Linked DNA regions of Cricetulus griseus. The protein of the gene in region 2 purifies or fractionates together with the protein of the main gene of each other region. This does not show direct contact. Links are inferred from orthologs where the notes say so. Each region holds a gene or a part of one and is shown on either strand. Other genes may lie near its edges. The genes, in order: Vcp and Ppp1r11.

What was found.
Region 1: the proteins of Ppp1r11 (region 2) and Vcp purify together in Homo sapiens (affinity purification with western blotting; 3 studies listed by BioGRID, with this or other methods). This does not show direct contact. The link is inferred for Cricetulus griseus from reciprocal best matches to the Homo sapiens genes PPP1R11 and VCP.

Annotation. Positions count from the first base shown.
Region 1 is NC_048595.1:100,551,351-100,555,161, forward strand, and holds part of Vcp (transitional endoplasmic reticulum ATPase), read left to right. Parts: intron 1-624; coding exon 625-737; intron 738-1,222; coding exon 1,223-1,387; intron 1,388-1,473; coding exon 1,474-1,596; intron 1,597-2,039; coding exon 2,040-2,252; intron 2,253-2,416; coding exon 2,417-2,725; intron 2,726-2,953; coding exon 2,954-3,109; intron 3,110-3,811. UniProt on the Homo sapiens protein: Necessary for the fragmentation of Golgi stacks during mitosis and for their reassembly after mitosis. Involved in the formation of the transitional endoplasmic reticulum (tER).
Region 2 is NW_023276806.1:228,772,686-228,776,990, reverse strand, and holds the start of Ppp1r11 (E3 ubiquitin-protein ligase PPP1R11), read right to left. Parts: upstream 3,012-4,305; 5' UTR 2,854-3,011; coding exon 2,785-2,853; intron 1,323-2,784; coding exon 1,214-1,322; intron 885-1,213; coding exon 682-884; 3' UTR 1-681. UniProt on the Homo sapiens protein: Atypical E3 ubiquitin-protein ligase which ubiquitinates TLR2 at 'Lys-754' leading to its degradation by the proteasome.

The DNA.
Region 1 (3,811 bases), on a different chromosome or scaffold from region 2:
TGTGTTCTTTTGTTTGTTTGGTTTTTCAAGACAGGGTTTCTCTGTGGCTTTGGAGGCTGTCCTGGAACTCTGTAGACCAGGCTGGTCTCAAACTCACAGAGATCCGCCTGCCTCTGCCTCCCAAGAGCTGGGATTAAAGGTGTGTGCCACCAAAGCCTGGCCACCAACTCATTCTTATACTCCACGGTATATTACAGTTCTGCTGGCTTGATTTCTTTATCTCACCTGTCTTTCATCTACATTGTTTTTTTTCTATTCTGTATTCCCTCTAGAGCAGTGGTTCTCAACCTTTCTAATGCTGCCACCCTTTAATACAGTTCCTCATGTTGTGGTGAGCTCCCTGATCATAAAATTACGTTGTTGCTACTTTCATAACTAATTTTGCCACTGTTACGAATCATAATGTAAATATCTGATATGGGAAGGGCCCTTTGACCCCAAAGGGGTTGTGACCCACAGGTTGAGAACCATTGCTCTAGAGTAACTACCCGTCTTGGTTTCCCTAAACCTGAAGAATTTCCAGGTTGTGAGGCATTAATGTTAACTCTAAATAAGAGAGTTTTGGAGTGACTTCACTGTGGACCAGAAATTGTTCCTATTTTACATTCCTGCATTTTCCCACAGGTCGCTTTGACAGAGAGGTAGATATTGGAATCCCTGATGCTACAGGACGCTTGGAAATTCTTCAGATCCATACCAAGAACATGAAACTGGCAGATGATGTGGACTTGGAACAGGTGGAGTGGTGATGATGGCTGGCCAAAACCTTGGGTAGCTCTGTTTTTAGGAAGTTGCAAGGGACTACTAACATAGTCTAAGATAAGAGTTCATATCAGTAATCCCAGAATTTGGGGAGGGTGAGGCAGAGGCAGGAGGATCTTGAGTTTGAGGTCAGTGTGGGCTACCCAGCAAGAGTCTATCTTTTCATTTTTTTTTTTTTTTAGAGCTGCATGGAGCTTATTTTGATTTCAGGGTAGAAAATGTGTTTCTTAATTGTTGCTCTGTTAAGAGTAATTCATACATTGTTGAACAGCTTTATTTCTAGCTCCCAAATCCAGGCTTAAGTATTTAATACTTGCCACTAAAAGGTCTGCTGTAGTATATATCTCTTTAAGGAAATAAAAGGAATCAGAGATAGGAATCGGGGTGGACTCAGGATTCTGTTTCTGACTTCTTAAGGAAGTGGTTTCTTGAGGATAGTCAGTAGATCTTTTCTCTGCAGGTAGCCAATGAGACTCATGGCCATGTAGGTGCTGATTTGGCAGCCCTGTGTTCAGAGGCTGCTCTGCAGGCCATCCGGAAAAAAATGGACCTTATTGATCTTGAGGATGAGACCATTGATGCAGAGGTCATGAATTCCTTGGCAGTTACTATGGATGATTTCCGGGTAAGGACTATATCCACAAATAGTTATTTTGTTGTATGCACCCCCCACCCTCCATCTCATTCCCCTTTTTCAAACACCCTTTTTAGTGGGCCTTGAGTCAAAGCAACCCATCAGCACTTCGGGAAACTGTGGTAGAGGTGCCACAAGTAACCTGGGAAGACATTGGAGGCTTGGAAGATGTCAAACGGGAGCTTCAGGAACTGGTTCAGGTAGGCCAATTTGCTCTAGGGTGGTGGGTCATTGCCTCAATGTATAGTAATTGGCCGTTTAGGTCTCAGACTCAAATCTACTTAGAATTGTGACTATAATTCAGAAGCCTGCTCTTACTGAGTTTTAGGTAGTAAGGAGCCTATTTAAAAACTAGCACCATAGACCATAGGATGTGCCACAAAGTAGATGATATGCTTCTGATTTTTTTAAAAGATTTTATTTATTTATTATGTTTGCCTGCATGCCAGCAGAGGGCACCAGATATCATTCAAGGTGGTTGTGAGCCACCAGATAGTTGCTGAGAATTGAACTCAGGACCTCTGGAAGAACAGTCAATGCTCTTAACTGCTGAGCCACCTCTCCAGCCCTATGCTTCTGATTAATAACGATTTTATTTAAAATATTGAGAGGTTGCCCTTAAATCATCTTTGCTTTCTTCTAGTATCCTGTGGAGCATCCAGACAAATTCCTCAAATTTGGAATGACCCCTTCCAAAGGTGTTCTCTTCTATGGACCTCCTGGTTGTGGGAAGACCTTGCTGGCCAAAGCCATTGCTAATGAATGCCAGGCTAACTTCATCTCTATCAAGGGTCCTGAGCTGCTCACCATGTGGTTTGGGGAATCTGAGGCCAATGTCAGGGAAATTTTTGACAAGGTGAGTTTTCAGAGGCTGGCTGTTCATATGTTTGGGGGCAAGGTAAGATAGGAGGCTATTTCTTCATAGTCAAAACTATTTTATTACTGGCAGCTCAGTGATTGCTTTCTTCTGAAGTTTGAGAGATTAATTAATATTTGAGTTGATCTCTTTCTTTCTCCCAGGCACGGCAAGCTGCCCCCTGTGTACTATTCTTTGATGAGTTAGATTCAATTGCCAAGGCTCGTGGTGGTAATATTGGAGATGGTGGTGGAGCTGCTGACCGAGTCATCAATCAGATCCTGACAGAAATGGATGGCATGTCCACAAAAAAGAATGTGTTTATCATTGGAGCTACCAACCGGCCTGACATCATTGATCCTGCTATCCTAAGACCTGGCCGTCTTGATCAGCTCATCTATATCCCACTTCCTGATGAGAAGTCCCGTGTTGCCATCCTGAAGGCTAACCTGCGCAAGTCTCCAGTTGCCAAGGCATGTGCAAAGTTGTCAGCCATGAAGCCTTTTTTTCTATCCTGGATAGGATGCCATTGGGGATTTGTAGGTTTTCTAAAGGCAATATGAGAGATTTGTGAATATTAGGATAATTTAAGAGATACAGAATAAAATGGGGTGGCAGAGCCAAGAGTAGCTCAAAGATCTATGTGTCCCATGGGAGGCAGTTAACGATGCTAAACTAAGTAGCTTTTTTGCTTCCTTTAGGATGTGGATTTGGAGTTCCTGGCTAAGATGACAAATGGCTTTTCTGGAGCTGATCTGACAGAGATTTGCCAACGTGCTTGTAAACTGGCCATTCGTGAATCTATTGAGAGTGAGATTAGGCGAGAACGAGAGAGGCAGACAAATCCATCAGCTATGGTGAGTCAGTATCTTTGTTCAAATGTGCCATTCTAGGGACCATCCTCCATGACCCAGAGTTGAGAGTAGAAGGTATTAGGAGGGTCCCTTTACTGAGATGTTAAGCAGGGAATCCTAGAAAATGAATAAACAGCTAAGCTGGGTGTGGTGCAGGCATATTCCAGCTCTCGGTGAATGCAGCAAGATGAGAAATAAAGGGCCCTACATGAGACTTTTAGAGATAAAGGGTTGGGTTGGGTAAGCTTGATGCCTTGAGGGAAATGAAAGTATGATTGTGCAACAGAACAGAACAGGGTTTTTTATTTATTTAATTTTATTTTTATATGCACTGGTGTTTTGCCTGCATGTATATGTGTGTGAGGGTGTCTGATTCCCTGGAACTGGAGGTATGGACAGTTGTGATCTGTCATATGGGTGCTGGAATTGAGCCTGGGTCCTCTGGAAGAGCAGCCAGTTCTCTTAACTGCTGAGGCATCTCTCGAACCCTCTGGAAAAGGATTTTTAAACTGAAGTCTGGACTTCAGCATCCTGGTGGGGAAGGGAATTCTTGTACTCTCAAAATAGAAAAATTAAGTATAAGAATGTAAAAACTATGAAATTTACAATTCTGTCTCTACTGTAGTTCCACTGTTTGGAGGTTTGTGAATGAATAAGAAATGAGCAAGTTGCTTTCTTTACCCTTTGGAGAGGTCCTTTGTGTCA
Region 2 (4,305 bases):
CAACAGCGATGAAGCTCAAAGATTAAAGGCTGAGAAACTTGTAGGCTCTAAGTCATTGGTCTCAGCCAGCTCAGAAATGCTATATTCAGGTCATGACTATTTTTGGGGTCCACTTTCCATTATAGGTTCTGACCCTTTTGAGGGTCAGAAGGGGTAAGAGCAGAACCCTATGGTGTCCCCAAAACCTTAGATTCCCACAGGCAAGGACTAAGATTTAGGATAACTTCGTAAGTGGAAGAACTGTAAGCCAGGATTAATATGCAGAGCTGGGGTGCAATATTGCTTGGAATCTGACTGGGGTCCTGGCAGTGAAAGCTGGGATGGTTGAAAACCCAATTTAAATGCTTGGGACTCAAGCTAAGGGTGCAGGTGGCCAAGATAACTGGATCCCAGGACAGGTGTTTTGGCAGTGAGAACAAAAGGGACAGACTGAGACCAAGATGCCTGAATCCCAGGCACAGAGCAAACTGTAGGGAAGGAGAGGCTGGGAGAACCCAGAAGCCTGGGTTCTGGAACAGCAGCAAGTCAGAATTCCAGGATCTCTATCCACCCTCCTCTTCCTCTTCTCTATCAGGCAGGAGAGGGAAGGAGGGGGCAGGAGAAGGGATCAGACCATGGGTTGAATCCCCATGTAGCCAGATGGATACATTTGGGGCCAGGCAGACACATGGTGAGAGGGATTTAGTGCTGCATAGGTCCTGGAGGGGGCTGAGATGGGTCAGGAGGCTGGGGGGGAGTGGTTGGAGTGGGTCCTGGGGTTGAATGACGCCGTCCTTTGCGGTGACCCCGCACACAGTGTGTGTGACCACAACCTTCTTCTTCATCCTCCTCACTCTCGGTGGAGCTCTCACCAAAGGCCCGAGGTTTCTCATAAATACAGCAGCCTAGATGTAGGGAGAGGAAATCAGTTAAGAAGGATGAGGAACACAATGTCCAGTCTGTTTCATTTCCAACAGATTTATGTGCAATTTTTCTCCCACCTTCCAGAATCCATGCCCCTTAAGCCTCCCACCCCAGGGACTCTGGCATCCACACTCTTTGTCTCTTCAGAGACCCAGAAGCATCTTTCTCCCACTCCGACATGGCTTGCTCCACAGACTTGGCAACTCTTAGTTTTAGCTCTATCCCCATCTATTTTCTTTCCCAAGAAAGTAAAGAGAACCGTAAAGGTCTGGGAGGCAGTGGTGAGGGCTGCTGGGGCAACAGCACTCACATTTTGATGAGCGGCGCCCCATGTGTTCATTGTCCACAGTGTCACTTGTCCATTCCACCTTTTTCTCTGGCTTCCGTTTCCGAAGTTTAATGGTTAGGCTCCGATTCTCCTGTAAGGTTAAGAGGTATGGGCCCATCTAGCTAATCTCCTCTTGACCTTTCCTGTTTCCCAAGGTACCTCCTCTTTTCTCCTCCCTTGCTCAATCAGTACCATACACCAGGCCACTGGAGGAGCCGGGTGCTGGGAGCCAAAACAGACCATGTTTTTAACCTTTTCATGAGGAATGTGAACTCCTATTCTTGAAAACTACTAGTATGCAAAAAGGACAGTCCTTAACCTAGGGAAGGTGCCGGTAAATCTCCAAAGGAAAGCACAACCCTCCCTGTTTCTTCATCTTCCTTCCAAATCATCCTTGGTGGTGCCAATACCGGAGAGTTATTTTCTCAGTTCCCTGTGACTGGTCTTTGGCCTTCCTTCCTTTCTCCACACCTCTTACTTACGTTCCCGCTAAAGAGATTAGAAGCATGTGAGCTAAGCATATAGGAGACGGAGACAGAAGCCAACAGAAGCCAGCCTCTGCAATGTGGTAAAGCTTTTCCTTTCAAAAACAAAATAAAAATTTAAAAAATAATAATAAAGCAGGGCTTCCGAGACAGTTCTGTTGGTAAAGTGCTTCCTGAGTTTGATTCCCAAAATCCATATTTAAAAAAAAAAAGTTAGGTGTAGTGGTGGTGCATGTTTGTAATACCAGTACTGGAGATGTGAAGACAGGCAGATCTCTTGACAGCCAGTCTAGCTGACTTGGCAGCTCCAGGAAAAATGATTTTCTCAAATCAACAAGCAAAGCAAAACAAAACAAAACAAAACACACACACACACACACACAAACAGGTACACCGTGCCTGAGAAAAATCTAAGGTTGACTTCTGCCCCTGCCACACCTGAACAAGCAAAATAAAACAAAAATCCAAAACCCTTCTTCTCCAAAGAAAGCCTTCATTCTCTAACATCCTGGCATCTCTGGCAATAATTACTAAACTCCTTCAACCCAGACATTACGCCCAACCCATCTTCCTCCCCTTGAAAGCAATTTAACTTGCTTTTGCAAAATTCTACTTGTTTCCTTATTTGCGTCTCTCCTCTCTGATCTGTCAAAATACTACCTTCACCTTATTTTGTTTCCTTATTCCCTGCCCCCCACTTTAACACGCACCCATTCCATGACTATCTATTGGTTAAGTACTCGTCCTTTACGTTTGCCTCCAAAACCATGCTTTCTCAAATAGCCTTTCCTTCCCTCCCAGGACCTTCCTTGCTGCCTTAACCCAGGTTCCGTTTATTACGTACACAGACCACCGCATCAAGCCGTGACACCTATACCCTGACTGTAACGTCCCTTGACTGGTCACTATCACGATCTGAGCCACTCCAAGCATCCCCAGTCCCTGGCGATCTTCCCAAGAGTCATCCCCACATGTCCCAGATCCCAAACCCTCCAACTTTCCAAAGCCCTACTTCCCTCCCAGTTCCTCCCAGACCCCTAAATAGGCCCCCCCGCCCGCCTTTCTCACGGGCTCGGTTGTCACGGTAACCGTTGTCTCAGTGACGGTCTCACTCAGCCCGGCCCCTGCCTCCGCCATGGCTAAAGCGAAAAGCCAGGAAGCGGGATGGGACACCCTTCCCTTTTTCTGCGCTTCTGGGATCTAAGAGATCCGGTACTCGATTCAGAGTAGCGGCCAGGAACCTCTGGATTCTTATTCTTCCCTTCCTCCAGGGCCTCTGCTTCCCCACCCCTGGGCATAACCTGTCCAATCCCACTTCCGGCCTTTCACTTCCGGGTGTGACGCATCCTGCAGAACCCAGTTTCCCTTCACCGGCACGGCTCGGGCAAAAGCGCAGGCGTCGCCAGATCAGTTCCGCCGTATTCTAACACTGCGCAGACGCCGCAGGTAGCAGAAGTGACGTCACTGTGGGGCGGGGCCAGCTCCTTCAGGGCCTAAGTTCATTGGGGGAAGAGTCAACTCCGGAGCTGCGGAGCGCAGAGGATGTGCGATCTGTGTGCTCAGCACCCCTAACCCTGTCAGCTGTACCCATAAACCTGGGCGGGAAAGTAAGTGGGACTCGGCCAAGTTCCATTTTCTTATCATTCTGTCGAGAAACCGTTTTCCAGGAGCAGGAAACGCACTGGGTTCTAGTCCTCTCTCTGTAAGTCTGGGAGGGAGAGCACACTAAATTTGGAATTTTCCCAGCGTGGTAGGTCCTAAAATAAAAGTATTCCCTGTTATTCTAGTTCCCAGTTTGAAGAATACCAAGGCTAGGCTGTGGGGGGCGCCGCAACAAATTCAAAGACATCTGCTTAAATTTTGTTGAATCACTTGCAGTGATATATTATTTATGATTTATTAAAGCCTGCCTGAGGATTCAGAATCAAAGTCAGCCACAAGCCATAGAAGCCAGGCACACACCTTTAATCCCAGCAGTCAGAAGCTAGGAGGTGGTGGTACACACCTTTAGTCCTGAAACTCAGGATTAAGTGGTAGATGGATCTCTCTGAGTTCAAGGCCACCCAGGGATACATGACATTGAATCGGTCTAAAAGAGTGACAGATAACACACCTTTAATCCCAGCACTAGAGGGGTATAGAAGATAGAATCAGGGTCTTCAGGATTCAGTAGGAGGCATTCATTCTCCAGCCACACTGAGGAGAGGCAGCAGTTTGAGGCTTGGTGAAGAGCTCGTGTGTGGATCTGCCCTTTCAGCTTGAGCTTGAGGTGAGAGCTAGTGGCTGGCTGCTTTGCTTCCCTGATCTTCAGCTTGAACCCCAATATTTGTCTCTCGGTCTTTTATTTTTTTCGTGCAACACTACCTATCCAAATATTTTGTTTCCTTACAATGAGGAACTAGATTTAGATAGAATATATGCATATGTCTAACAGCTTTTTTTTTTTTGCCTTTGTAATGGTTAACATTACAATTAGAGTTACTATGCTTGAGAGACCAAAAAAAAAAAAAAAAAAAAAAAAAGCCTGTTAACGTGTAAGCCCCTAGCTTGTACAGGCTGTAACCTACCAGTCCACTCCTTTCCCCCCCC